Medicago truncatula: one gene and its partners. Each later gene encodes a partner of the first gene's protein in a complex. Links are inferred from orthologs where the notes say so. Each region holds a gene or a part of one and is shown in the gene's direction. Other genes may lie near its edges. The genes, in order: histone-lysine N-methyltransferase EZA1, polycomb group protein EMBRYONIC FLOWER 2, VIN3-like protein 2 and VIN3-like protein 1.

What was found.
Region 2: histone-lysine N-methyltransferase EZA1 (region 1) and polycomb group protein EMBRYONIC FLOWER 2 share a complex: the UniProt entries of both Arabidopsis thaliana proteins name them as parts of the plant homeodomain / polycomb repressive complex. The link is inferred for Medicago truncatula from reciprocal best matches to the Arabidopsis thaliana genes SWN and VRN2.
Region 3: histone-lysine N-methyltransferase EZA1 (region 1) and VIN3-like protein 2 share a complex: the UniProt entries of both Arabidopsis thaliana proteins name them as parts of the plant homeodomain / polycomb repressive complex. The link is inferred for Medicago truncatula from reciprocal best matches to the Arabidopsis thaliana genes SWN and VEL1.
Region 4: histone-lysine N-methyltransferase EZA1 (region 1) and VIN3-like protein 1 share a complex: the UniProt entries of both Arabidopsis thaliana proteins name them as parts of the plant homeodomain / polycomb repressive complex. The link is inferred for Medicago truncatula from reciprocal best matches to the Arabidopsis thaliana genes SWN and VRN5.

What each region holds. Positions count from the first base shown.
Region 1 is NC_053042.1:42,724,498-42,732,122, forward strand, and holds the start of histone-lysine N-methyltransferase EZA1, read left to right. Parts: upstream 1-4,610; 5' UTR 4,611-4,733; coding exon 4,734-4,766; intron 4,767-4,968; coding exon 4,969-5,070; intron 5,071-6,020; coding exon 6,021-6,292; intron 6,293-6,447; coding exon 6,448-6,609; intron 6,610-6,932; coding exon 6,933-7,017; intron 7,018-7,133; coding exon 7,134-7,289; intron 7,290-7,368; coding exon 7,369-7,416; intron 7,417-7,496; coding exon 7,497-7,568; intron 7,569-7,625. Other genes in the region: GRAS family protein RAM1, read right to left, coding at 1-43. UniProt on the Arabidopsis thaliana protein: Polycomb group (PcG) protein. Catalytic subunit of some PcG multiprotein complex, which methylates 'Lys-27' of histone H3, leading to transcriptional repression of the affected target genes, mainly abscisic acid (ABA) responsive elements.
Region 2 is NC_053046.1:4,146,267-4,153,809, reverse strand, and holds the start of polycomb group protein EMBRYONIC FLOWER 2, read left to right. Parts: upstream 1-4,536; 5' UTR 4,537-4,647; intron 4,648-4,782; 5' UTR 4,783-4,797; coding exon 4,798-4,923; intron 4,924-5,491; coding exon 5,492-5,547; intron 5,548-6,913; coding exon 6,914-6,978; intron 6,979-7,345; coding exon 7,346-7,398; intron 7,399-7,543. UniProt on the Arabidopsis thaliana protein: Polycomb group (PcG) protein. Plays a central role in vernalization by maintaining repressed the homeotic gene FLC, a floral repressor, after a cold treatment.
Region 3 is NC_053045.1:61,341,066-61,348,494, reverse strand, and holds the start of VIN3-like protein 2, read left to right. Parts: upstream 1-4,416; 5' UTR 4,417-4,702; exon of another isoform or gene 4,703-4,708; intron 4,709-4,806; 5' UTR 4,807-4,866; coding exon 4,867-4,891; intron 4,892-4,897; exon of another isoform or gene 4,898-4,993; intron 4,994-5,066; exon of another isoform or gene 5,067-6,159; coding exon of another isoform or gene 6,160-6,187; intron 6,188-6,595; coding exon 6,596-7,277; intron 7,278-7,429. UniProt on the Arabidopsis thaliana protein: Maybe involved in both the vernalization and photoperiod pathways by regulating gene expression. Binds preferentially to dimethylated histone H3 'Lys-9' (H3K9me2).
Region 4 is NC_053047.1:39,580,207-39,588,212, reverse strand, and holds the start of VIN3-like protein 1, read left to right. Parts: upstream 1-4,986; 5' UTR 4,987-5,276; intron 5,277-8,006. UniProt on the Arabidopsis thaliana protein: Involved in both the vernalization and photoperiod pathways by regulating expression of the related floral repressors FLOWERING LOCUS C (FLC) and FLOWERING LOCUS M (FLM).

The sequences.
Region 1 (7,625 bases):
TAAGAGTTGGAATTGATATTATAGCTTGATTTTCTTGCTCCATTGTTGTTATTGCAAAGAAACTGTGTTCTACGTGGAAGATTATATAGTAAAATTCTCTTGTATAACCGTCTTGGAATATATTGATATTGAAAGGTGTGAGAGAAAAAGAATGGTTCAGCATGTTTACGGTATGGAATCTTAACATTGGAGGAATCATGGGATGATATATGTTTCGATGTTTTTCTTAAAATGTAGCCGTAATTCCATAATTTGTTTGTCGTTGTTGAAACAAATGGGAGAGTCGAAACAAACAATGGTGTAGTATATGGAATATTTTACCATATATAGGTGTTCTTAAGAAGTTCTGTCCAACGTGGCTAATTATGGCGTTGAATGAAAATGTTTGATGGAATGTTACGGATAAGACATTGGAATTCCAATTGTTCTAGATGACTATGCGGTGTGTGTGTGTTTTTTTTTTTTTTTTTTTTTTTTTTTTTGTTACAAATAGTATGTTTCATATTTTTGACAAAAAAAATCGTATATTTCATTTGTTAGTTTCATATTTGAATTTGTTAAGGAATTATATAGGTGGTGGATTCGCTAATAGGATGAAGTTGGTGTATTTTTCGCATCACAATCGACTCACATTAGAATTAGTTAATGTAAAATTCACTAACAACTTATGCAAAATCGAATGATAGCCGAATAAGCTGCCGATTGATAGAAGAGATGACTATCAAATTTAAATAGGAATTGGATAATGTTTAATTAGTCTAAAAGACTCCAACATTGACTTGACTAAGTCAAAAGGTCATATTACAATTTTCCTATATATGTGGCATGATAAAGTAATGGTTATGCAAAGAGAAAAGATAAACTGACCCCAAGGTTGATTTTAATGACATAGCATGGTTAATTAGACATTCATTTCTTAAAGATAGGAATAATGTGTAGAACATAGGTAAATGACGATCGAGCAATCAACCATACACAATTATGCCCTCAACTCAGCCATATCAGCCAGATATTAGCTAGTTAAGTCCAGAACATGTATGAAGATTTATTCTCTTAATAATAAGGCGATGAAGGATGTGGATGCTGATATGGAAGTTTATAATTTAGTCGACAAGGCAGCTTTGGGTTGTAACTTAGCCTACAAGATACTCCCTCCGGTCTCAAATGTAGGGAAAAAAATAAAAAAAAATTGTGGTCTCAAATGTAAGAAAAAGTATAGTAAAAGCAACCTAATAAATGCTACTATTCCAATTTTACCCCATCTCCATGAGTTCAAGAGTCACTTTCATTAATTATTACTAAAACATGACAAGGCAAAATTGAAAAGTTGTACTTTTTTAACATGACTTCAATGTAATCAATTCATTTTCTTAATTGGTGTACTTTTTTTTTTCTTTTTCCCTACATTTGAGACCGGAGGGAGTAGTAACTTACACCCCCTATAATATTTGCGAACAACCGAAAAATACTTTGATTTTAAATGACATCGGATAACTTGTAAGGACAATTTTTTTAATGGCAATAGATGATATAATTAAGGACTCCGTTGCTACTGAGTGATATTGATTCAAGAACTAATTTTCTAGTAAGTGGTAAATTTAGCGAGTAGTTTAACATAATATTAGATGCCAGTTAATATAAGGATCAAGTTGTTTGACAAAATTCTATGTTAGAGGATCAATTTTGCATATTCGCAAATTTTAGAGGTGTGAATGCTCGACTCTTACAAGTTGTGGGGATGAATGGATAATTTACTAAACCATAAATTTGACTTAAAAATGCTTGCGATTAAAGTTGTGGACCTTTTTAGGAGACTAATAAAGTACTCAAAAGGTGCTGGAGTGTTGGGGAGACTAATAATTCAAGGCAAAAAAACCTTTGATACCACACTTTTATTAATCTAAATTTTAAGAAATTAGAAATCTATATCACCTCTTTGACAATTGCTTTTTTAACATTCAATAGTTCCTAAACACAAGTAAAATCCTAAAATATCTTAACGGTAGTTAATTGCCGTTGACTTATAACTATAAAACCGGCAGCAGTTACCTGCCATTGAATTTTTTAGTTATTTACTTATGTTTCTAAGAGACATTGAATGTCGGAACAAAAATTATCCACCAATTTAAGGAACCTGTATGAAATTTTACACTCACACTTTAATCCTTTCGGAAAAGAAAAACAAAAAAAAAACACCGACACTTTAACAAATATGGTGGAAATTGTATTGGGCAAGTTATCAACGTACCAAGCTAAGTTGGTTGCTAAAAAGTTTTGGTTGTGAGAAGTTTGTACTATTGAGAAATAAAGTTTCCACTCATTTGCGAGTGGGTAATTGAGCCTCTATCATTTTTGGTCCTCAAAATATGGATGATTGATCCAGTTACGTCTCATACTAATTATTGGTGTCATTTAATTTGGGAAAGGAAAGTTCTTTTTCACCATGGGAAAGTTGATCATATCCATTAAATTAAATAAGGAACATATTCCTATCATACTCTCTCAACCACTAGATTATTTTTTTATACTATCTTTCACACTCTCTCTTTCATGTTCCCACACACCCATACCACCACCACTAAATCACAAATTCAACAACCACTTTGACCACCATTGCACCACCACACACCACCACTGCACCACCACACACCACCATGGTTGCTGCCGGAAAGAACTCTCCTTTCCCAAATTAAATGGCACCATCATTTTAATCAAAACTCAAGGGTACCTGCAAATTTTCCTATAAAGAATCTAAATTAACCTAACGATGCAATATTATATTTTTTTAGAGGGATGCAATATTATTTTGTTCATAGTTTATTTTAGAGGGATGCATAATTATCTTGTTGTTCGAATTCCAACCGCCATCGCATAAACTATACCTGTTTGTGATCGTGTTTTTTTTATCCAATTAATCCGTTTCTCTCCGGGTAAAATGATTGTATTATATAATTTTGAATTATATTATTTTTCTTCTGTTTTTTTTTTTTATAAAAAAACAAATGGGTTCATGGAAGCATAAAAAAGAAAAGAAAAGAAAAAATGTTAAAAAAGTAAGGTTTAAATGCATTTTTGGTCTTTCTATTTAAAAAGAAAATGATGTTTTGGTCTTCCTATTTTAAAAATCGTACGCTAACAAGTTTTCCGGCAGCAACCATGGTGGTGTGTGGTGGTGCAGTGGTGGTCAAAGTGGTTGTTGAATTTGTGATTTAGTGGTGGTGGTATGGGTGTGTGGGGACATGAAAGAGAGAGTGTGAAAGATAATATAAAAAAAATAATATAGTGGTTGAGAGAGTATGATAGAAATATGTTTCTTATTTAATTTAATGGATATGATCAACTTTCCCATGGTAGAAAAGAACTCTTCTTTCCCAAATTAAATGGCATCTAGTTACTAACTTCTTTAGGTGGGGTTTAGCATGAGAAAGGGGAATTGTTTCCCACCATGGGAAAGTCAATTTGAACCATTAGATCTACAATCTTATCATACACTCTCAACACTATATTTTTGTCACTATCTTCCACTACCATCTCTCTCCTTCATCCCCACCAACCCACCACCAGCAACACCATGAGAACTATAGTTTTTACCAATCAGATTCAAAATTTTAACAATCAATATTCCATGAACTTACTTTTTGCAATTCAAAGTAATCAATCCTTGCAGGACACTATATAGGAACAAATTGTTTGATTTGAGGAAAATATATTCTCAACCTCTGGCTGACGGAACAGTTGGGTCTTGAATAATAGAAGGAACATATAAAAATTTACACAAGTTAGCATACAAATTCACACACTATTGTGATTAATTTCTTTTGGAAGAAAAAAATATGTATTCGTGCAGTCAGGTTAGGTTAGTTGCCTCAGCACTCAACACAAATACAAATGCAGAGGTTAGATTTGTGGTCTAATAATGGAAGGGAAGCTTAGATTGCTCCAAATCTGATATCCACTTCATATATAATAATAAACAATCAAAACCATGAGAAATGTTTTAGATTTGGATTAATACATTGCATCAAAGAAAATAAAATAAGGATGAAGGAGAGACAAGGGAAATTAAATAAATTAACAATAAAGAGTTGGGACGGTGGTTTTGATGAGTTGCTGGTTATGGGTTTGTGGAGGATGAATGAAAGAGATGGTAGTGGAAGATAGTGACAAAAATATAGTGTTGAGAGTGTATGACAAGATTGTAGATCTAATGGTTAAAAATGACTTTCCTATGGTGGAAAACAACTTCCTTTTCCCATGCTAAATGCCACCACTTCTTTAACATATTGCCCCGTCAAAATATGGTTCCATTTTCATAGATGTCTATCATTCCATAGAAAAAGAGTGGAAATAATATCATCAAACACGCTTACAAACGAGATCAAAATTTAGAAAACATTTAAAAAAAAATAGCATAGTTTGCAGTTAATTTATTTAAAGTTTAATAAATAAAAAAGCAGGGCAACTATGATTGGCAGTTGGCACGAGACAAGTCCCTTCAGTAGTAGTAGTACTACAGCATTTGGAAAAATGAGGGAAGCAAAGGAATGAGGGATAGCCAAGAAAGAAGGAATAATACTGTAAAGAGATGACCCCACTCAAAAAAGGTACATAATCCAAAGTGGAAGATGCGTCCACCCAATTTCATTTCTAAAACCGTGCGTCCACAGTTACTCTCTCTCAATCGTTGATCAACTCGCTCAACTCAGCATACAAGATCACAACAACGAGCATCCATGGTTTCCGATTCTCCTCACAATCTCCATCGAGTCTCTTTCATTTCTCTCTATTTATTCAATTCAACTTTCACTATTCCCTATCATAAACACCAAGTTTCATTTTAACCACAATTTCACCTAACCGCAATTTTATTTGTGATTGTCGTGTGAGCAAGGAAAATTCGGTGTCTATGTGATTGTTTATTTTATTTTATTATTATTATTTTTATGGCGGTAACTGTAATATTGACAGGAATTAGTTGAAGAGCCGCCAAATGATGATGTGGGAACCTTGTCCAACAAGATAAATCAGTTGAAAAAGCAAATCCAGGCCGAGAGAATTCAATCCATTAAGGTAAGTTTGTGATTTCGTTCTTGGAATGGGTTCAGCTTTCTGTAGTTTGTTTGTTTGTTTGTTTGCTGGCAGGATGTTTTTGTTTTATCATGGCTAATTGTGGAAACTGGCGTTAGCATACTGACATTTAGTGTATGTTTGGATTGATAGTGTGTTTGGCCAAATCAAAGTGTGACATCGTGATTATGACCAAAGTTACACTTTAGAGCTTCAACAAAATCAAGATGTCACAATTTTTTTGTCAAACTCGTCCTGATTCCAAACATTTAATTATTATTCCTTGCAAACTTCATTTTGTAGAAACACCAGTTCAGCCATATATGTGGATAACTGGAATTTAATAGCTAGAGTTAGGGTGTGTTTGTTTTGGTTTTTTTTTATTTTTTATTTTTTATAAAAGTCGCTTTTGTTATTTTAATAGTGTTTGTTACTTTGTTTATAATTTTAAAAAATTCATTTTTAACTCTAAGATGAAAAGCTGTTAGGGTTAACTTTCCCTAAAATCTATTTTTTTTTCAAACATGAACAAGCTAAAAATAATCTTTTTTTTTTTTTTTTTTAAAAAAAAAGTGAATTTTATGGGTAGTAAACAAACAGAAATAACTTCAGTTTTTTTTTTTTAAATCTCTAGATTTTTTATAACAGTCTTTTCTTTTTTAAAGCTGAAGGGTGCCACACAAAATCTAGAGCATGCTATAAGGGTGCCACACAAAATCTTTCGATTTCTGTTTGCTTCTACATTGAGCTGAACTGCTAGTTGTTCTGATCTGTTTTGGTTATATGGGTGTCACTTTCGGCAATGTTTTTTATTTAGCCGTGTTTATCGGTTGAACTTTATGTTATGACTGTTAAAGTAAACTTAAGTGTCAATTGAAAATTCAAGGTTGAGATAGCTTCTTTTTACACACCATGCTGGATGACTTGTGATTAATTGTAATTATTTTCTGTAGGAAAAACTTCAGAGGAACCAGAAGAAGCTGCAATGTCATACTTCAGGAATAATGTCAGCAGTATCAACCAGGGACTCTTCACAAACGGAGGAAAATACGACACGTTCAATTCTTTCCTCAAGAATGGACCGTCCTTTATGTAAATTCTATGGTTTTACCCAGGGTCCAGGAGACAGAAACCAGGGCAATCAAGACATGTCATCTGCTACAAGCATCAAGATTCCACGTATGGAAAGATTACCACCATATACATCTTGGATATTTTTGGACAGGTGTTTTGACTTACAAATATTTAATTTCCTATGTTGAGTTACTCACTGCTTTATCCATTTTATAAGAGAAAATGGGATTTAAACCTTATTGATCAATGAGTATGCAAGTTCAATAATATATTTTCTTCTATTTTAAAATCTTTCACACGCATCAGGAATCAGAGAATGGCTGACGATCAATCAGTCGTTGGAAGAAGACGGATCTATTATGATCAACGTGGAAGTGAGGCATTGATATGTAGTGACAGTGAGGAAGAATTAACAGAACCTGACGGAGAAAAACATGAATTTTGTGATGCTGAAGACCGTATTTTATGGTAAGTTAGTATGAAGATGTAGAAATGCTACATTTGCGAAGAAAGATTCAACGAAACAAGACCAATCGATCTGGGTTTCAATTATTGTGGTTAGCTATATGAATCATTGATTAACATGTTTAGTTAATGAGTCATATAGATGCTCTGTTGGCGCAAACACGGATTTTCTTGCCACGCCTTTGAGAAATAAGACTTGTATCACGAGTCATGACCACACAACTTTTAATACCAGATTTTAACTTATAAACCATGAATCCCAACTTCATTCAAACGTTCAGCATTTCTTCTTTCTAGAATTAATGTCTTGACTATTGAATTTCTAGTATGGCATTTGAGGAACATGGGTTAAATGAGGAGGTTTTGAATGTTGTTAGCAAGTATGTTGGGGGCACCAGTTTAGAAATCCAGGTAATCCAAAATAACTTGTGGGAATGAATATAAAAAACAATATATTGCACCATGGAAATTTCTTTATCAGAAACCATTTTCATTTCTTCGAGAAATTGCTTTCATAAAAAACACAGGAGAGGTACAAAAGCATCAGAGGAAGTAATATTGGTAGGTTGGACCAGCATCCTAAAAGCTCAGGAGAACATGAATTTCCTATGAGCATGTATCTAGAGAAAAACCTGAGTGATGCATTAGATTCTCTTGATAACCTTTTCTGTCGTCGGTGCCTGGTATGTACAAAATCATCATTTTTTTAACATTGTCATCATTGTCTTAGTGAATGCGTACCTTTCTGCTTTCCTGCGGCAGATTTTTGACTGTCGACTGCATGGCTGTTCTCAACCTTTGATATATCCCGTAAGGAACAATGCCCTAAGTTATTTTCAAAATTAATCTATGTTACTTCATCAATAAATTTAATTTGATGTTTATTTCAGAGTGAAAAAAAGACAGTTTGGTCTGAGCCTGTAGGTGATAGAAAACCATGTGGTGATCAGTGCTACCTTCAGGTATTCTTCTTTGTTTGAGATTGCAAGTATTTTTTATATTTGAGGTGGGCGAGAATT
Region 2 (7,543 bases), on another chromosome or scaffold:
TGAAAATATTGTGATTTTATTTTAAAAATGTGTGTCCATTTTACCTTGATGGGAACTTTTGAAGTGAATTCTTGTGATGGAGAGAAGATGTAATGCTAGTTAAAGATAATGATGCATTTCTAGAAATAATCAAAACATTTTTTTTATATATTTTCATTGTTACCGAAAATGCACATAATTTTTTTTTTTGAGGGAAAAATGCACATAATTATTCACATCAAAATATATTATATGTGTGTTTTGTGTGGATTGAATCCACGAGTTTTCCCACAAACTTAGCTTTTGTGGCCAACTGAACCACATTACTTATAATTAAGGAGAAAAACAAGGACATATTCAAATCATGATTTTAATTTTTTTTTTTCTTTCTATAAGTCGTGATTTTAGGAGTCTTGGTGCAAGGTAATTAAGTTGTTGCCACGTGAGTACTTGAAACAACATCTTGTGTAAAAAGTGAACTTTAGTACACTAGAGTGTCTTTTATGTGTAACTTTCTTCTAATTATTTTAACTTTTGTTGCCTTTGTGTTTTCTCGTATTATTGAGTGTGTCGTCCTTGAGTATGTTGTAATTTCTTGAATCAAGATACTTAAGCAAAACTTGATTGGGTTCTTCAAAATTGTGTTTGATCAAATATATAATGCTAAAACCATGTGGATTGTTTGAATCTCTACACATGAGACTAACATAATCACAGCACTCATTGTGATTCTAGCAAAAACTATACTTCTATACATCGTATCTTTAACAAACTCATGGTGCAATCGTGATGTTGTTAAATTCACCACTCATCCAAACACATATATGGATGACTTGATGTATGTCATGTATATATATCAGAATATGACTTCCAATAATGTATTCTCTACTTCTCATGAAATTAATGATTCTGGCTGAAACCAAATGTGCTCGAATCTCTGTTTCATTTTCCATTTTTTTTTTGTTGAAAAAATAATTCAAAAAAATAAGAGATGCAAACAAATAATCTAGAGAATTCCTTCATGTTTTATTGGATACTATACTACATGAATTCAGACATTAAGTAGAATAGCTCTTGGATAAGATTGTTAATAGAACAACATCTGCATTAAGTAATTTTTGACCTGTGCTTCAGTGACATGCATGTGTGATTCACAACTTTCTTAATAGCATTTTTGACAGTATGTGGGATAAGATTAAGGTAAAGGAGTTAAGAAAGGATATTTGGATGCAATTGGGTTTGGGTGATAAGTTGGAAAGCTGTTAGTAAAATCACGTTCATAGATAGTTCCTTATTCTAAATTTTAAAGATGTCTACCATTGCAACTTACAAGCAAGAGTGATGGTGAATATAACACTTGTGTACTTCAGATAAATAAATAAAAATATCAAAAAGAAATTCCAAACTCAGATCAAGACTACCAAAATAACCTGATGCAAATAACAATCTGGCACCTTATAAATTATATGTTTCTCTTTCGTTGATAAGAAAAGCAAAAGAGAGTACAAGATTTGTCGAAGACTAAGTAAGTCATCATTCAACAAAATAAGCAAAGCTAAACAATAATAATAATTAGACTAACTAAGGAAAAACGCATCATGTGTTTCCAACTCCAAGTTTGATACTTATGTTTGGCTGGCTATAACCAACCACAACTATAGTGGAGTACTTGGCAATGAGACGAGACTGTTAGTGTGAAGCCATACCTTAATATCACCCACAACAATGTTGTCAATCTTTGTTAGTCGTTTGATCTTGACATTGTAACTAAAATGCATGGTTTCCCTACTTGTTACAGATGTATTTCTTCTTTTCAATAGAGATACTCGAAGGATAATTTGATGGTTGATCCAGAAACAAAACACCACACACAGAATATGAATCTCATGGCCGCAAGCAGTCGGAAAATCAAAAGGTCCCATCTCATGATAAAGAGACCATTTTCCTAACTCAAAATCCAAAACATAGATTTGAAATGTTCTACAAAATGCATCATTATTCACAATGCAAGAAAGGTGATTTCCCATCCCTAAAAATATGGCTTAATTGCACTTTTGGCCCCCTATCTTTCCAAAAGTTGTGATTTTGGTCCCCTAACTAGTTAAAATACAAAACAACCTCATATGTATTGGATCTTTGTCAGTTTTGGCCCCCAAGGCCACTTTTGACTTAGTCTTCGCTGACGTGGCACCCACAATGGTCGACATGTGACACCTCACTTAAGGGATGTGTGTGCCACGTCAGCGAAGACTAAGTCAAAAGTGGCCTTGGGGGCCAAAACTGTCAAAGATCCAATACATAGGGGGCTGTTTTGTATTTTAATTAGTTAGGGGTCCAAAATCGCAACTTTTGAAAAGATAGGGGGCCAAAAATGCAATTAAACTTAAAAATATTGCATCTGAATTAAGACCCATCAACACAGGGGGAAGTGGAAGTAAATACTGTCCTACAATATTTTCCTTCTCAACATCCATCATTGTTATTCCCTCTATAGTTATCCAGTAAAGATAATTGTCTCCATTATACTCCATTCCTTTTCTTTTGATGTTTTAGTTCTTGACACAAGTTTTAAGGAGTAATTAAAGTATATAAATATTTGTGTATTTTTTACTTAAATGTCCTTATTTATCATTAAATTCACATGTGATAAACCAAAGGTCACAACTACTTTAATAGTTTATTGTGTTTTCCAACAAGGGTAAACTTAAGAAAACAATAACAAATTCACTAAAACATCAAAAGTTTTGGAATATAGTTAAAGTTCTAAAACATCAAAAGAAAAGGAATGGAGCGAGTAATTTATAAAGTAGTTTCCAACAAAAAAACCATTCACGAGGAGCTTCTTTTCAAGCTATCTCTTTCCATGAGCTATCTACTCCAATTCTAAGCACATAGAATACATACCAATAAGCACCCGAAACCACTAGGATATCTACAAAAAAACAGCTTGAATTCAATAGAGTGAGGAACACGTGCTATAGTTACTTGACACTTAAGTTCCGATCGTTTCAGTGAAATCGGTAAAGAAGGAATTTTGAGCCAACACTTGAGGATGGGGTTCACGATGAAAATCTAGGACCATGACAAAGTAGCAATATTCCATCACAAGTATCGACAATGTTTCCCATTTTTTGAGGTGTTCCCATGTTAGACCTTTCAAATTCAAATAGACTATTCACATCATCTTTAATATCCAAGAAATAATAATTATTTTGATGCTTGCAATTTTCAACATATAGACCAGGTTTTGAATGTGCACGATGTAGGCACGCTTCGGCAAACAGGGAGCTGCGAATAGTAGTAGCCCAAGATTTGCAAACATACCTTGCAGAGTTAAGCAGACATTTAACAGGGAGAAAACTAAGGATATCAAACACCAAGTCTTCAGGGATTAACAACTTTGAAATCACTTTACAACTCTTACCACTATAGGAATTTTGCTTCATATTCTTAATGGAATGATCCTCATGTGACTTAGAGTTTGACTCAGAGAAACTGTACTTCTTTATGGATTTATATCTTCCCATTATCAATTAATCAAATTAAACTTGTCCTGCTTCAATCACTGCATAACATATCGGCCCAAACAAACATCACATTAGTTAAATCATCAATAATATGAAAAGTATACTATGTATAGAATCTGAAACTACAATGCTCTAACGATAATCACTTATACTTTTTCAGAGGGATTGGAATTTTAAAGAATAATAATATACACTTGCATAGTTTGGATTTTCTATATGCTGCAAGAGTTTTAGAATCTTGCTCAACCAAAAGATGAATTCATATGAAACATGCCACATTTTTCGAAAGTGTAAGACAAAAACTAAAATAGAAACTTACATAATAAAATCATTAACTCTCTTGTACGATGAAAATAACTCAATGGGATCTATGCAAAACATTTGAGTGAATGTGTTGCTCAAGTATATGCAAGCACATGCATGATGCATATTTTAAACTGATATATTTTTAATTAATTATAGCAGAGTTTTATATATTGTAAATTAATCTTTTACTATATGTTACTACTATTTAGCAGTGTATAGTTAAACAATGAGAAGAGAAGAGATTAAACATAATGCATGGATATAACTTGGACAAAAACTGACATGAACATAAACCAACTATTAGGGACAACAAAAAAGAAAGTTTTTAGTTTTTGCAACTAAAATCAAAATTCTTTATATTTTTTAAAATCACAAACTTATTTAACCCTCCTTCAAAAAAGAAAATAACACTTACTTAACCCCTAAAATATTTCAAAATTTAAATTGAAACTTGTTATTTAACAGAGTATAAATTTGCAATTCGCATACAACAACTAGAAGAAGAAGAAGCCAGCATCGATAAAATAAAAAAACCGTTTAGTGAAAAAAATCGAGAGTTAAAGGAAAGGAAAACTTAACATACCTATAAATAGGTATGTTTTTTGCGGGTGGGCTTGGGCTCAAAGCCCATGAGCTTTTTTCCCCTTCTTATACAGGTGCGTTAGAAGTAAATTAGAGGGGTGCAAATAACAATCCTCATCTTTTCCTCTTATATTAAGATGGGCCCATTATTATCGGGCCCAATACAGTGTGTAATGAACTACGTTGACGGTGCCATGCTCTTCCCTTCTCCGCCAGATCGACCAAGAACTTCTTCGCATTTTCTCTCTTCTCTGTAAGTCTTCCTCTCTCATGAATTTCTTTGTTTTCAGCTGCAATATTCGTTTAACCTAATTGTGTTTCAGCTCATTACTTCAATTGCGTGTAACAATGTATGTTTAATTGAAGTTGATTTTGTGTTTGTTTGTAGGTTGAAGAATTCAACATGTGCCGGCAAAATTCACCGGTGCATAATTCCGGTGAAGAAGAAATTACAGCTGATGAAAGTCTTTTGATTTATTGCAAACCTGTTGAATTCTACAATATTCTCTATCGTCGTTCTCTTCACAATGTATAATATTACTATTACTTCCTAATCAGTATATGATTGTTTCAACTTTTAATTAAGCTCCATAATATTCATTTATTGTTTTTTTGCTATTTTTTCTGTGTTTTGGTTGTTTAAATATTGGTAATTTATAATTTTATGATTAAGGGATTAGAAATTGTGCTATGATTTGAACTTAATGCCGAGATGAGATGTTGACTGATTTTTTTGATATTTAAACTTTTTTTTTTTTTTTTTTTTTTTTTATATCGTTGGGGCGTGTCCCCATGCAGAAAACGTAAGATTAATATCTGCCTGCCCGGGGGGCCAAGTAAAGTCTGGCCAACACATTTTTGAACTCTGCGGGAATCGAACCTGGGAGTACTAGGTCGTTTCCCCGAGTCTAGGGCAGGTTACTCCACTGAGCCGAGCGGTGTTGGTTGATATTAAACATGTGAAGTGGTTTTTATGCGATTCTACATTTGAAAGTTGCTCTTAAAAATTGAAATTAGCATACATGTCAAAATTTTATGTTTTTTTTAATATAAAAGATATGTTGATTGATACCATTTGGAATTCATTTCTCTTGCAGCCTACTTTTCTTAAGAGATGTTTGCGCTATAAAATAAAAGCAAAGCAAAAAAGGAGGTAAATATTCCTTTGAATTGTTATATACATGTATTATAGTTATTTCATCTAGTTTTTAGTTTCATCATTCAATTTGTTGAAGTACACTACTCTTTATACCATTTCCTTACTCTTAAATTGTTGATTCAACATGATTTTTAAGAGTTATACTAATAGAAATTAATTATTTGGGGATACATGAATAGTAATCATCTATCTACTTTTTTTGGTAATAGGAGAATCGATACAGAAAAAAAGGAATTTGATTTGTGAGGATTGAGAATCCGACAGTAAGAGAAATAAATGCTACAAACGAAAACTATTTAAATACCGACAAAACTTAATTACAGTTCCTTATGTTCTCGCCAATAAACTAAGTATACGTGTCATGTATTATCTTTTAAAAAAAAAAAAAAACCCCCGCAAGTTGTATTTGCAGAATCATCACTGCTTCGTTTCCTTGTACCATTGTATGAAAATTTTAATTTAGACTTGGCTGACTTGCAATGAATACCAACCCTTGATGGAAAAGAAAAAGTAAATGTGATGCTGCAGAACTAGGAAGTGTGTGAAAACTCTCTCTGTTCCCCACCATTTCTTTGACTATAGACCAGCAAACGTACGATAGAGGACGACTTGCTGAAGTGAAGACTTCGATCTGAGTGGCAGTCTGGGAAGTTGATTTGGGGGGGGGGGGGGGGAGGGGGAGGGGGAGGGTGGTGGTAATTTGGGACTCTGCGAGAAAATGACACCGTTTCTGTTTTTCGATTCCGGCACGAAATGTGAAATTTCGATTCACCATTCACGGGAGGTGTAGGTTCCCCTTGTTAGAGGGAAATCACAGTACACGTGTCCGTAATTTATTGGCGAACAACAGTAATAGGACCTTAGGCGCCGTACTTAAGATTTGTTCATTAAATAGTTCACAATTTATTAGTTGAAAAGAGAAACTAGCCTCTTTGCATATCGAATAAAGATTTACCCATTTTCAGATATCTATCTTATGTAATATGCAATGCTTCATTAGGGGTTGTAACTGGTAAGGTGAAGTTTTGAGTCTAGATGCCGAAAAGAAGTAAATGTCTCATTGAAGAAAGATGTTAACAGTAGGACAAGAAGTAAACAGTAAATTATTTGGCTATTTTATTTTAATTACGAAACTCTAGACTAAAAGTTGCATTTTGTCCCTAGTCTCAAATACTGTCCAAGTAATTCTTTAGCATACCATGATGTCTATTCTTCATCAGCTGATGATTTTTGCATTCTTGCCTGAATAACAATTAAGAAAGAAATTGTTTTGCTATGCTTTATCCTTGCGTTTCTTGTTGATTGTATTTATTGTTTGCCTTATTGGGTGGCAATTGTTTGATGGCTTTCTGTTTTGAAGGTTGCGAGCAGGAATTGTGGTTTTCAACTATAGGGACTGTTACAATGCGCTTCGAAAGACTGAAGGTACAGCATATTATCATATTGTCACCAGCTATGTTCAACATTACATCTTACCACTACCTTCCTATAATAAGTACAATTTTTAAGAGCAATCAAACTAGTAAACAATTTGGTAATGTTTTTATTTTCGATTCCGACTTCCTTCCATAGATGCTTATGGCTGATAGTTTTCAAGTGCAGAACTTCATCTGCCTTTAATTTGGACAGATATGATTTTGTAAACGTTACTCTTTTGAGCTGGCATTTTTTAATGCTTTTTTTTTGGGTGGTCTGTCATGTTATTCTCTTTTTTTGTGATGGTTTCTTATTAAAAAAAAAAAAAAAACAATTTTGACCGTACTGATACATTTCTGTTTCTTTCCAAATGTAGTGACTGAAGACTTTTCTTGTCCATTTTGCTTGATGCAGTGTGCGAGCTTTAAGGTATATGCTGTGATTTGAACTTCAGTAATTGCTTTTTTCATTCATAATTTGATAATTTGGGAGGTTGTTGTCTTGTCTCTTTTTTCTTTGTTAGAAGCTAAGAGAAAACTTCAAAAACTGTTTTTCATGGAAATCTATTGAATTT
Region 3 (7,429 bases), on another chromosome or scaffold:
TTTATTTGGCAAACGGAGAAAAAATTGAGGAACTAAAACGCCTGTTTTATTAATTGTGAGATCAAAATGAAAACATTAAATTATTTAAGGGATCAAATGATCTAATACACCTATATTTTTTGTTTTATACTTCAAAACACAAAAGACGTTGCACAACCTACATGATTATACGAAAAATATAGAGAGGAAAATGATTTGTCTACACTCATGTAATATTATGCAGTAATTGTGAGTTAGAAGTCTCACAATATTTAGAAAAGGGAAGGTTAAACATTTTATAAATGAGACGACTCATAAACCTAATGCCTTAAGATGTTACGTAAAGATGTGATGTCAAACTCGCTTTAATGATTGTTATATAGGTCTAATTAACGTGCATAACTCGCTTCTCCTCGTGATCCAGCAATAGTATCAGGTTCAACAAAGGTTTGATCGCCTCTTGGTGTAGAAAGTCTTCCTAGGAAGGTGTTCAGTTGACGTGTCACGTTGGTGCAATAACAAGTGGTACAAGTATAAATGCAAGTATGTGTGGGTTAAAAAGCTTTTGTTTGAGGCATAATATTGAGACACGATATGAGTATGAGAATATTCGCATTTAGTTAAGAGTAACAAATAAGGTGTACATTATACTTTAACTCCAAAACCCTGAGACATTGGATTTACCGATCTTTCTACTTATAAAATGTTTAACCTCCACTTTTCTAAGCAATGTGTAACTTCTGGCTTACACTCGCTACACAACATTTAATGAATTGATGGACTCACACTTGAGGGAAGATTGTTGTGTAAAGAACGTGAGTTGGAAGTTCTGCATATTGCTTATAAAAATGAAAGTTGAACACTTTATTTATTAACGTGGTGACTCATAAACTTATTGCCCTAAGATTTTAGTTAAATATTTGGTGTCCAACTCATTTGTATGATTGTTCTGGGTCTAATATGGATGGTCTCTCAAGTTCCAACCTCCTCTCATGACCTAACAATAAACACAGAGAGATTAATATCATCGTTGTTGGAGAAAACTGCATAGCATAAAATATGTTAGATAATCAAATATTTACATTTTTTTATTGGATTATATATATATCTTAACCTTTTTTAAGAGTTGAAGAAAGCAAGCGTAAATTATTAATAATTTTTTTTTTTTTTTAAGAAGCTAAGTCAACAAATCTTATTATTATACTATGTCGTGTGTGCAATACAAGCTAAGCCAACAAATGTGTAGGAAATGAGTGGCATGAGATTTTTTTGACGCAGTGAGTGGCATGAGATGGGAAAGCATCGATTCGTATATGCAAAGACCATAATTTATTGTTTTTGTCAAAACTATAAGATATAAAAAAAAACTCAATGTCTTACATGCAATATTAGTTAGTGGGGCAGCTATCTAAATTGACCATGTTGTCCCCACAGTCGATTCCAATCTTACATGCGTGTGTCCCTGCCATAGGGCCATATCAACAAAGTTTTAACAGACTCTATTATCCAATCGTTAGCCACCAATCGATCATAAATGGACAAATGAAATTAAGTTTTTTTTTTTTTTTTGTAATAATATACATTGCAAAATTTGTTAAAAAAATATATATTCTATTGCAAAATTTTGATAAAAGTGTGAATACGAACAAAATTTTAGAAGATAAGAGATTTATAAAAAAAGAAAAGAAATGAATGGAGTTATAGTAATAGCCGTCGTACTTTTTTACAAAACACACATAAGAGATAGCCGTTGTATTCCATTTTTTCTAAACGTAAAACCGCCGTACTCCTTTCTTCCTCACACAAATTTTAAATCCGCCCCCGTCATCATGTAGATCAAATGGATGGTGGTGCGACGAGGGTCACTGTCCTCCGCACCACCGTACCTTTCCGACGTGCGGTTGCTCTCTATCGTCGTAAAGGTTGGTTTGTATTTTTGATGTTTTTTATTTGTTTCGTTTGGCTGAGACGTTGGTGGGTTTTGTGGTGTGTCGTTGGATGCTTGTCTGTGGTTGTTTGGTTTTCGTGGGTCTCAAACTATTTGATTTGTTTTCTCTCTTGGTTGTGGTGGAGGTTATGTTTGCTCGCAACATAGGTGGTGACAGATCGGTCACGATGGTGGTGATGAATCATATCTAGATTCGCTTATGAACTTATATGGTTTCGATGGATCTTTGGTTGTATTGGTTTGTGGTACTTCATGATGGTTTTCTTGGTGGTGTTGATTTTGGGTCTTTTGTGGCGGGGGCTCGTGGTGGTTTTTGGTGGTGATGCTTGTGGTGGTTTTAGGTGTGCTGCGCGTGGTGGCTGGTGTTGCTTTTAGGTGAGGGTTAATGGTGATTTTTGTGGTGGTCAATGGTAGTTTTGGTGAAGGTGGTGGTAATGGTGTTGATTTTTGTGGTTATGTTTGTGGTGGTTTTTGGTGATGGTACAAGGATTTTTGGTTAGCTTTTGCGGTTGTTTACGAGGTGTGTTTTGGATGAAGGTGCTTAGGAGAGCTCATGGTGGTGTTTGGGGTTTTTTTTCCCGGCTGTTTTCAAAGGTTGTTGGTTGTGGTGTAGGTTTTTAAGTTGATGTTCAGGGGTTGTGTGCGAGCAGCGGAATGTGGGTGTGGTAGAAGTTGTTTTTGTGGCAGTTGTGACGATGCTTGAGGATTTTGTTTATGTTGTTTTGTTGATCGTGATGTTAGCTTTGTTTTGGTGTTTCTATTTATTGATTTCGGAGATAGCCCTTTGTTAGGAGGTGTTTCCTATAGGTTTTTGGATTTTTATTTATTTTCACGGGTGTATGGATTTTCCATTGGGGGTTTCCATCATCCTTTGTTTATTGTTACTGTAAGACTCCTAGCCTAACATTCCTTGTGCCGGTTAAGATTAATTGCTATATTAACAAATTCCATTTTAGCTTATTTTAAAAAATAATATATATATATATATTAATTACGAGAAAAAGACTTCATTCACCTGAATGAAATCTTATCATGCAAAAGACATTACCACACACACACAGCCACACTAACTCAGATTTTTGTGATGTATGGATTTATGATACAGGTTATTGAATGGACCTGATATGATATGGTGTATGTGCCAGTAGATAATGAAAAGAATAAAGGGCTATTTTAGTAATTTAATATATTATACTATCCTAATTTCTTACCGAAATATTCGACTATAAAAAATGTTGAATTGAAAGTCAGTGAGCATCGCAACAATAAATCGGCAATAACGCCATTATTTTAGATCTAAACGTTTACGTAAAGATTTCCTTCTTCACATTTTTTCACATTATCTTTGTCCTTTTAACTAATTTTGTATATGAATTTTTTGAGGGAATTAATTTTGTATATGAATTTTAAGATTTAATATTTGATTTTGATACGAGCTTTCGGTGTTTAAATCAGTGGTTCTCTTTGTTGAAAATTCATATACAAAAGACTAAAATAAAAAAAATGCAATAAATAAATATAAAAGACAAGATCGTTGTTTAAAATTAAGACAAGTGACTAGAAGTTTATTTTTTTTTCTAAAATTGATTTTTGATATTTTTAGACAGAGAAAAGTTAATTCATCTATAGTAAAGAGTCAAAATTAAGTGAAAGATTAATTTGTCCTCCTAAGTTGTAAGGTGTGTGTTTGGTTTGCAAAAGAGTAAGTACTGGATAGAACATATCAGTACAAAACAGAACATCACAACATAAGGCATAACAACACAGAACAAATTTTTATGGTATTGAATAATTTTTTGTTTTGTATGATTTTTGAGGGACGAAATACTATTTTGATGTTTTAGACAACTTGTACGTGGGACAAAAAAGTTGTGCTGTGGTTTGGTGAGGGACAAAAATTTCAGTTTTTGTCATGTTCCTTGCCTCCAGTTTATCCTGTCTCTGAAACAGTTTTGCAAATCAAACACTAAACAGCTGAAGTTATTATGTCTTGTCCTTCATTTTTTAACAAATCAAACGCACACCAATATTGTTAAATTGAAACACGTTTACTCATGTTTAAACATAACACATTGCACTTGTGTCGTAAATTTAGTTGTATTTGTCAATTTATCTAAAGAATCACTTATCACAAGTTTGCGAAAAATCTAAATTTGATTCCATAACCAATCTTAAGTGAAATGATAGCTATATTTTATTGGTTTAAACTAACGTGGGGCATATACATTGGAAATGGAACCGACATAAAGTAATTGGACATATTGATTTTACTCAATAAAATAGTGAGCCTCAAAAGAGAGTATTATTAGCCTTCCTCCTCAAGTGGTTCCTAAATTGTCATATAATATTAATATCTATGCAACTCAAACACATTTCCTTCAAAATAATTTTTTTTACATCTTATTTAAGCTATTTCAACCTTTTATTTGCTATCTATTTTGCCGCATCATGATTTATTCAATGAAGAAATGTTCATATCATCGTTTAGTTTTAGATACATTGTAGATGTTGAAAGCGTCACAAAAATTGAGCCGAAAAATTTGTGAGAGATATTAAAGCGCTCTCTCTCTCTCTCCTTCCACCTATCTAAAACGCTTTCTCTTTCTAGACTAGAAGCAAAGTAAGTACATCAACAACTTTCTCCTCGAATCTCCCTCTATCACATACAGAGGAGAGAGAGAGAGAGAGAGTGTGCGCGCGTCACCATTTTTTTCAGTTACTGAGTGATTCCGTTTTCTTCTTCTTCTTCTTCTTCAACAATTGAAAGCATCTTTTTTTTAGGTAATTGTCATTTCAATCTTTCTCTATCAATCACTCTTAATTTTCTTTCCTTATACGGCGATTCATGACGTGGATTGGATTTATTTATTTAACTTTTGTTTAGGTTCGATGAATTTTGTTGATAATGTGATGTGATTCATTCATTCTCGTTCTTAGTTATGGCTACCGATTCGTCTTCCCAAGGTAACACACACGCTTCCATCACTTGCTTATTTTATCTCTCTAATTTTCTTCAATTTTTCATGTATTCTTATATCTCACTTTCTTCGTTATATTCAAACTGAGGTGATTCAATTATCTCAATGATTGATTAGATTCGTTATAATCTCTGTTGTGCTTTATAATCTCATGTGATTTAACGATGATTAATCTCTATCATATCATGTTTTAGCATTGCCATCGGTCATGTACCTCATTTTTCTGTAGTTTCGTGGTCCATATGATATCATGATTTAGCATTGTGATTTGTGACATATCTGATTTCTATGTGGATTGATTTACTTTTTGTGGTCTCTTCATCATCAAGATTTTGCATGTCAACGCTTCCGATGATATTGCGGTAATTTTGCATGACTTGTATTTAACTGCAATTTTCCGTTACATGTCCGCAATTGCGTTACTTGAGGTTGATGTATTTAACTGCTCTTTTCCGCAATAAAAATGATCTCAACACGACAAGGATTGGATTTGTTATCCGTGTTATGCTTTACTATTTCGTGTGATTTAACATTATGCTTTTTTACCAATTTATTTTTTATGACAAGAAACCGATTTTCTTTGTTGTTTAATTTATTTGTTGTGGCATCTTCTCGAGTTTTTCTGAGGCTTGACATGTCAAGGTTTTTTTTATATCTACGTGTCCAAAATTGCGTTAAATGTGGCTGCTACACGACAAGGGTTGGATTCGTTATCTGTGTTATGCTTTAATATCTCGCGTGATTTAATTGTGGATTGATTTATTTGCCATGTCATCTTTCTCATGGTTTTTCGAGGCATGACACGTCAAGGTTTTTTATGTCTATGCGTCCACAATTGCATTAATTCTGGGTGCATCAGTTGTATCTAACCGCAATTTTCTGCAATACAAGGATCACAACACGACAACGGTGTAAAACCTTGTTTTCCATGCGTGTCCTTCCTGAATGTTGGGTTCTGATTAGCTTTGATTTTTTTTCCTTCAGAAAAAAGAATGAACTTTAATGAGAGAGGTGTTTCACTATTTTATTTGATTTAATTGTAATTTATTTTATTTATCTTTTGCTGATTCTGCCTTTTTTGGCTTAAAATCTATGCTATATATAGCCTTTTATTCCCGAGCTTTTGGTGTGAACTGCATTTAGGGGCCGGGCAGTTCAATATTTTATTAATGCATTTTGATTAAAAAAGGAGTCTTGATTGAAGTAGGCTTATCATTTGATATGCGATGTGCCAACAACTAAATAAGCAGGTCCATGAAGGTGCTTATAAAAGTCAAAGGAAGTTAAGTCCAATTACCTAATTGGCTGACTTGATTAGTCCATTGCGTTTACACTGAGCTATCCAATATTCCTAGATTCCATTCTGCATCAAGTGGTTGGGATGTCCTTGTGATGCAAGTTCAACCAGTTACAGTTTTATATGTTATGTTTCTTGTTCTTGTTTTCTTGGTTATATTATATGCAATCAATATGTTAGTTCATTAAAAAATGCATTATAGTTTCTTCTATAAAATCCATTATTTCTGCGTATAATTTCTTGATGATGACATGTCTAGCATGAGTACAAATTGTAGCAGAAGTCTTTGTTGAAATAGTCTTGTTTCCTTCAGCACTTGGAAGTTTTAAAATTGGAATGCTCTCATCTATATAATAATATGCTAATATTTGTTTTCTTTTTCCTTGATCTTAGCAGTTGCTCTTGATCCTTCTAAATTTAGTAAATTGAGTATGGAGGAAAAAAGAGAGCTTGTATATGAAATATCTAAATCGTCTCATGATGGTGCATCTGAGATACTACAGTCATGGAGCCGTCAAGAGATTTTACAAATATTGTGTGCTGAGATGGGAAAAGAAAGGAAGTATACTGGGCTGACAAAGGTGAAAATTATCGAAAATCTTCTGAAAATTGTTTCCGAAAAGAAATCAAGTGGCCATGATATTGCCACCGACCCTGAACCACATTCTTTTCCTGAAAATGGTCAGAAACCTGCTAAAAGGCAGAGAAAAATTGAGAATCCATCTCGGTTAGCTGTTCCTGAAAACAATGTTTTTGTCAATAACAGTGGCGATGTGAATCATAATACCTCATACTGCAAAAACTCAGCATGCAAGGCTACGCTAAATCAAGGAGATGCATTTTGCAAAAGGTGTTCATGTTGTATTTGTCATCAATATGACGACAACAAAGACCCTAGCCTGTGGTTAATATGCAGCTCTGAAGCTCCATTTCCTGGTGTTTCTTGCGGCTTGTCATGCCACCTTGAGTGTGCTTTAAAACATGATGGTTCTGGAATTGGCAAAGATGGCAAACGCCCCAAACATGATGGAGGCTTCTACTGTGTCTCTTGTGGGAAAGTAAATGATTTACTCGGGTAAATTTTATATTCTTCTTTTTATTCTTTTTCCCTATATTTCTGTCTTGTCTTGGTCTTATAGTGTTTTCTACAATGGAAACTTTGTGTAAATGCAAATTATTGATATTATTAGGATTCAAGATGATTATATCTATTTATATGTTGCTTGC
Region 4 (8,006 bases), on another chromosome or scaffold:
GCAAATTTCTTTCCTAATTTTTTTGCTCTTTTTAAAGATCTCTTATCTTATATACATGGGTTCTTAAGGCTTTTAAACAATTTTTTGGAGTCAAAAAAGTTATTGTAATTTTTTTTTTGGTCAAGAAGTTATTGTAATTTTACTTCCTAACTTTGTTTTTTTATTTAGAAAATGATGGCATATCTTACTTATAAAAGTTCGTAAGTATCTTAGATAACTTTTTGGAGTAAAAAAATTTGTTGCAAATTTATTTCCTTATTTTTTGTTGTTTCTTTATTTTATTTTTAAAATGGTCGCATATCTTATTTATAAACTTCAGTATCTTAGACAATTTTTTGGAGCTAGACAATTTTTTGGAGCCAAAAAAGTTTTTGCAAATTTCTTTCCTAATTCTTTGCCTTTTTTAAAGATCTCTTATCTTATCTTATGTACATAGGTTCTTAAATATCTTAGACAACTTTTTGGAGTCAAAAAAAGTTGTTGCAAATTTCTTTCCTTATTTTTTGTTGTTTCTTTAATATTTTTGAAAATGGTCGCATATGTTATCTTATCTTATTTATAAAAGTTCTTAAATATCTTAGACAACTTTTTGAAGCCAAAAAAGTTTTTGCAAATTTCCTTACTAATTTTTTGTTCTTATTTATAAAAGTTCATAAGTCTCTTAGACGACTTTTTGGAGCCAAAAAAGTTGTTGTAAATTTCCCTCCTAATTTTTATTTTATTTTTTATTTTTTAAAAATGATCACGTATTTATAAAAGTTCTTTAAGTTTCTTAGACAACTTTTTGGAGCCAAAAAAATTGTTGCACATTTCGTTCCTTTTTTTTTTTTTTTTTTTGTTTCTCTATTTTTTTAGAAAATGATCGCATATCTTATCTTATTTATCTAACTCTGTGGTGGTGTCACATCTGTAGTTTGCTGATGATACGTTACTTATGGGTAGGGGTGGGAATAGGCCAGGCCAGGCCATGCTTTGATAGGCCTGAGCCTGGCCTACGAAATAAATCACAAGCCTGAGCCTGGCCTATGGCCTATCATAGGCCGTTTTTCTAGGCCTGGCCTGACCTATTTAAAAGCCTGGACTGGCCTGAAAGCCTACTTACAGACCTACTTCATATTAAGGCCATCAAATAGTTCATTTGGCCTACTAAATAGGTTAAACATGTCTTAAAGCCTACTTAAAAGCCTATTTCACTACAAGTAAATTTCAACTAGATAGAGAAAAAGATGTTTATATTTTTAATATATGCAATTATTTTAATATAAAAAAATATTTTTTAATAAATAAGTATTAATAGGCCGGCCTATTAGGCTTAACAGTCTTTTTTTGAAGCCTAAGCTTGGCCTATTTAACTAAACAGGCTTTCTAAAAAGTCTAAGCCTAGGCCTATCTACTAAACAGTCCAGGCCATGCCAGGCCAAAACAGGCCAGGCCGTAGGCCCCTGTAGGCCGGCCTGACCTATTCCCAACCCTACTTATGGGTACTAAGAGTTGGGCCAATGTTCGAGTGTTAAGGGCGGTGTTGAACTTATTTGCAGATATGTCCGGTGTAAAAGTGAATTTTCATAAGAGTCTACTGGTAGGAATTAATATTGGGAACTCGTGGTTGACTGAAACAGCATCTATTTTAAATTGTAAGGTGGGTAATATTCCATTTTTGTATCTTGGTCTCTCAATTGATGGTGATCCTCGAAGGTTAGCCTTTTGGGAACCTATGATGTCTACTATTAAATCTAGACTGTCAAAGTGGCAGAGTCGCTTTCTATCTTTTGGGGGCCGCTTGATTCTTCTTAAGTCTGTCCTGACCTCGCTTCCTGTCTACACTCTTTCTTTCTTCAAAGCTCCGACAGATATAATCTCTTCCATTGAAACTTTATTTAAGAATTTTTTTTAAAGAGGGAGTGAGGATAACAGGAAAATTTCCTGGATTGCTTGGAGCTCTATTTGTTTAGGTAAGGAGTATGAAGGGCTGGGGGTGAGGCAGTTTAGAGAGTTTAATTTAGCCTTGTTGGATAAATGGTGTTGGCAGTTGTTGGTGGATAGAGGTGGGTTTTGGTATAGGGTGTTGGTGGCGAGATATAGTGAGGTGGCTGGGAGGTTGGAGGTTGGGGGCCGGAGTGCTTCTTCTTGGTGGAGGGAGGTAGTGAAGATTAGGGATGGGATTGAGGGCACAAATGGTGGTTGGTTTGGCGAAAGGGTATCTAGGGTGTTAGGTGATGGAAACAATACGTTCTTTTGGTTTGATAACTGGTTAGGAGATGTCCCCTTGTGTAGAAGGTTTAGTCGATTGTTTGATTTAGCGACTAATAAATTTGTTACTGTGGCGAATATTTGTGATCGCGGATGGGGGGAAGGGGGAGAGGCATGGAGTTGGAGGAGGAGATTGTGGACGTGTGAGGAAGAAATGTTAGAGGAGTTTAGGGTACTACTTGATGGTGTATTTGTGCAGGCTAATATTCTTGACAGGTGGCAGTGGGATCCAAACATTCATGAAGGATATATTGTCAAAGGTGCTTATCAGATTCTGACAACTTCGGTATCTTCCACTGTTGACGTGTGGAGAGACCTCATTTGGCATAAGCAGGTTCCCCTAAAGGTGTCCATTGTTGCTTGACGTTTGCTAAAGGACATGCTCCCAACCAGGAACAATCTCCTTAGGCGCGGCATAGTGCAAGAGGCGGGGACTTCGTGTGCTACAGGGTGTGGGCTTGAGGAGACATCAGCTCACTTGTTTATTCATTGTGAAGTGTTCGGTCGTTGTGGCAGCAAATTAGGGCCTGGTTGGAGTGGCGGGAGTAGAACCGCTTACCATCACTGACCATTTTCTCCAATTTATTCATTATACAGGATCATCTAAGGCCCGCTGTGCTTTTCTTCAATTATTGTAGCTTCTTGGTGTTTGGCTAATATGGAGTGAACGCAACAACAAAGTATTTAAAAACGTTGAAACTCCTATATTACAGCTTCTAGATAAAGTAAAATTCCATTCATTATGGTGGGTAAAGGCTAATAATGCCAAGTTTGTTTATGGTGTGCAAAGATGGTGGTCGGACCCCTTGACTTGTTTGAGTATCGACTAACCTGTTTTTCTTGTATATAACTTGTATGACATATTGTTATTTGGGGTAGTCTGTTCGGTACACCTTGTACTGAGGAGCACTCACCGCCAGTGTTAATATATTCCATTTTTATGTCTTCAAAAAAATAAAAGTTCTTAAGTATCTTAGACAACTTTTTGGAGCAAAAAAAGTTGTTGCACATTTCCTTTCAATTTTTTTGTTGTTTCTCTATTTTTTTAGAAAATGATCACGTATTTTATTTATAAAAGTTATTAAGTCTCTTAGACAACTTTTTGGAGGCAAAACTATTGTTGAGTCTAAATTACTTTGGGGGTTTAATATTTGTCTTCTGGAAGCATTATCAATGATTTTTTTCATAACAAGGATTGGACCAAGGGTCAACCCTAATCCCTATCAATGATTTTTTCATAACAAGGATTGGATCAAAATCAACCCTAATCCTTTATCTTTTTACATGTTTAATTAATTATTGTATTTTTATTAGAAGGATTGAATGATTTTTTTAATAGGATTGAATGATTTTGTTCATAACAAGGATTGAATGATTTTTTTTTCATAGGATCAAAGGATTGAATGATTTTTTTTTATAACAAGGATTGGACCAAGGGTCAACCCTAATCTCTATCAATGATTTTTTCATAAACACCTTTGCATGTTTAATTAATTACTGTATTTTTATTAGAAAATAATAAGTGGGGTTTAGGGTGTTACATCAAATCCCCGTCTCAGTCCTCGTGAGCTTAATTCAGTTCATATGGACAACATATAATATATGCAAAGGTTCAAACTCCGACCACCGCAAAAAAAATCTCCGTCTCACATAAGCAACATTAAGACAATGAGAACTACAAACTTCTATTTCAAAGAGACTTCACCGTCTACGTAGAAGCTTATTTGTAACTACTATGAAATCACGACAACAGCACAACTGAACGTGAGTTTCGAGACTTAAACACCAAATCAAACATATGCTACATCCAATTTAAGTTGGACCAAACATACTCATTTATTTTTTTTTACTTATTTTGGGTCAAAACTGCCATTCAATCAAATCACCGCCTCACATGAACAACATAAAAACAAAAAGTAATATAAACTTCTATTTCAAAGAGACTTCACCGTCTCCATAAAACCTTCATTTTATAGTTACTAAGACCATCCACAATATATCACCTTAAACTGAGTGGTTAAATTAATTTCATATGTCCACATCACTTATTTTACGGTAATACTTAATAAACACCAATTTTCTCCAACCCAACACCTCAAAAGAAATTATTAAATAAGTCCTACAAATAATTTTATATCATTACATTTCAACAAAAATTATTTATTTTATTAAGATTTATTAAATGTGACCCATGAAAAATGAAGAAAGAGAGGGTGCTTCCATAGCCACCGTTCTCCATAGCCACCCATATATTATACTCCACAATGGGGGTGCCTATTTAATATGATGCTAAATAGATGAAGCACCCACCATTGTGGATGGTCTAACAAACGTGAGTTTAAAGATGCGCTATGTCTAGATTAACCTATATCACACATACTCATATTTTTTTTCTTTTGTTTTTTTGGTCAGAAACTAGCATCAATCAAATCACCTTCTCACATAAACAACATAAAAACAAAGAGAACTATATACTTCTGTTTATAAAAGACTTCATCGTCCACATAAAACCTTCGTTTTATAGCTACCAAGAAATCACAACAATAACACAACTAAACTCGTGTTTAAAACCTCAAAAATCCAAACCAAACAAAACATATGCTACATCTAATTTAAAACCTATTCTAAAAACATAACTAAACCTTAAAACAACTTAAATAATTTTCAAAGAATAGGGGCAATAATGTCCACAAAAGTAACATCAACAAAAACCTGAAAAACATGAAAAGAAGTAACATAAGCTGAAAACTTCACACAGCTGACTAACCAATACCATGCAGCCAAACAACAAGAGCCTAGGAAGAAGAAAAAAACTACCACAACTCCCTCACGCGCCATCTTAAGCGCGTGTCACTTCATTCACCTATAAACACTACCAATAAACACAACCCTTTTTCTCTTTCTCTCTCAAAATCACAGAAACAACAACATAATCTAACAACAACATAAACCACCAAATTTGTCTTGTGTGTTTGTGTTGTTTAAGATTTCAGATTCATAACCTTAAAATCCTCATTCTCCTTTAGGTAACTCTTTCATTCGTATCCCTTTATCCTTAATTTTCACGTTTTTAAGGTTTTATGTTTTTTTTTCTTTTTTTGTCTACCCTTTATAGATTTGTTCTGATTTTCCTCTTGCCCATGTTCTGATTTTTGTAAAAATTTGTGCTTTTTATTTGTTTAATAATTTCCCTTTATTTTGATTTTTTTTAAATATTAAAATTGATGTTTTTTTGACCTATTTTTGTTGATATGTGCAATGCTTATTGAATGAGTGGTTAAGTTGTGATGTGTGATCTTTTATTCTTGTTTTGTTTTTATGTTCAGTTTTTCATTCATGGCTCTAAATTGTGGTGTTATTATTATACGTTTTTTTTTCTTCATCTGTTTTGAGTAAATAGTTATTGTTATAATGATAATAATAGGTTTGTTTTATTTTTCATAACTGTAATTGACTATTTGAGTCTATTTTTCATCAGACATTGTGTGTTTAAATCAAATGTGCAAAATAATACAATTGTGTTGGAGACTGATTTATATTTTGTTTTTAATTGATTATTTTTAATTTAATATTAATTAATATATATCCATCAATCAATCAATTGATAATAAATCCTCAATTTAGAGCCCGTTTGTTGTCGGATTCGGGTGAGGTCACTTGGTTGTAAGTTTGTTTTACAACCTTGTGGTACTCGGTTCGAGACTGGCCCCAAGAGAATAACACTTTTAAGGGTATTTGATCGGTTGATTACTCTTTTAAGAGTCCTGATGGTTGCCCTTAAGTATATCAAATCTGTCATTTTAGTCTCTAAATATATGAAAATCTGCCGTAAGGGCTTAATTAAGGGATTATTCATCAATCAATTAACGCTATAGTTGCTAGTTTGCATTGTGATTATGCATATCTGTCTTTCTCTCTTATTGTACTTTATTGATGAGTTACATTGTGAGATTGGTGTGTAAGAATCGTGGTTGCTTCCTCCCGTGATTAATATTGAAATGCAAACAGAACTGAACAATCCATGATAAATTTTTGAAGTGTTTGATAATAGATTGTTCTTGAACTGAACAAAGCCATCTAGTGGTTATGCTGCTGTTTTGGTTAATGCTGTTTTTTCAATTTTCTTTCAGACTTCACACAATTTTATCTTTTTTTCAGACTTTCTTTCACAAATGATGTTTATGCATATCACCAACACACTCCTTTGTTCTTATTTTTGTTTTTTTCATTTGTGCCATGTTAATCGTGTCATGTTAATCTACTTAAAAAAAAATGAACATGATTTAAAACGCTGTCTGAAATTTGACTTCGGAAAAGATACATTTTATTTTTTTGGAGAGGATTCGGAAAAGATACTTAACGTGTGATTTGTTTGCGGAAGCTGTTATTTAATGTGTTTTACTTTCTTTTGCTTATTAAAACTAATTTTATGTATAGTTTCAATCCAATGAATTGTTATATATTGCTTCTTTTGCAAGGCTTTTTTACCCTTTATATCATTATTTCACTTTTTAGTCTTGTGGTTTGTTTCCTTTTAACTTTTACTTGAGTGTTTGATGATATTTGTTTCCTTTTTGTTATTCAAAATGTGAATTTTGTTTGTCTCATATTATGCAACGTATTATAATTATGATCCTAAAATGGAGTTATACGTTGATATGCCTTGTAAGTATATTTGGTTTGGGATCAAATCTGGTTTTTCGCTATCTTAGAGTCAATTATCGATTTTAATATATGGTTTTATTAAATGCTGAACCGATATAGTTACAAACTAGTATTGTTCTATTCTACTCTTATTGTGGCATCACCTTGGAAAGTCGTTGTTATTCATATTTGGGTTAAATATGTTTTTAAAATCTTAAATCACTATTTTTTGTCTCTATCGTCTTGCGGCGTCATTTAACTACTTATGTGTCCAACACAAGATCAAGTGGCCTCTCCAGGTGGCACCTAATCGTGTCGGTGGTGCCTTGTTAGCATATATGACTCCCTAAGATTTTATCTTGAGCCCGGAGATTTTTTTTGGCTCAACCTAAAGTGAATGTTAGAGACCAAAAATAGCGATTTGTTATTTTAAAGTGATGAAAAACCAATAAAAATATTTTACAGGAATCAAAGCCAAAAGTTGCTCATTTTATGGTGACTAAAATCAATAATTTTGGACTTTAGAGGAATGAAAGTCCACAAAGAAATCATGCTAAGTTAAAGTATACTGTTTTTCTTTTGTTATGCGGAAGTGTTGTACTTTGTGAACAGTGTGGCATATTATTAAGGAAAAAAATAACGATGAATTATGTGGCATAAAATTTATCCAAATTTTCAGTAATACATTAGGTGAGGCTATGATGATTGTCTACAAAACCAATCTGTGTTACTATTTTAATAGGATATGTTTTTTGGGTCTTTCTTGTACATATTCACAATATAAACATCTATTTATTTTGTCCCTTAAAACGCAGCAAAATAAATTTTGATCTATATGTGATGTTCTGTTTTTTTCATACGCAATTATGAAATATTAATGCATTAATTAATGTATATTTCTGTTATGCATAGAATATAATTATGTAACATATATGATATAAACTTCCCCAATTGTGTGGTTTAGAATTTGATATTGTTATTAATACAAAGAGATTGGAGTGATTGTTGAATTTAATCCTTGTTTAAACGACTTCTTCAACCATGATTCTGTTGTCCATGTTGTCTTGTTAGTTATCAAAACTGAAATTTATTTCTGGTAATGAAAGTCTAGT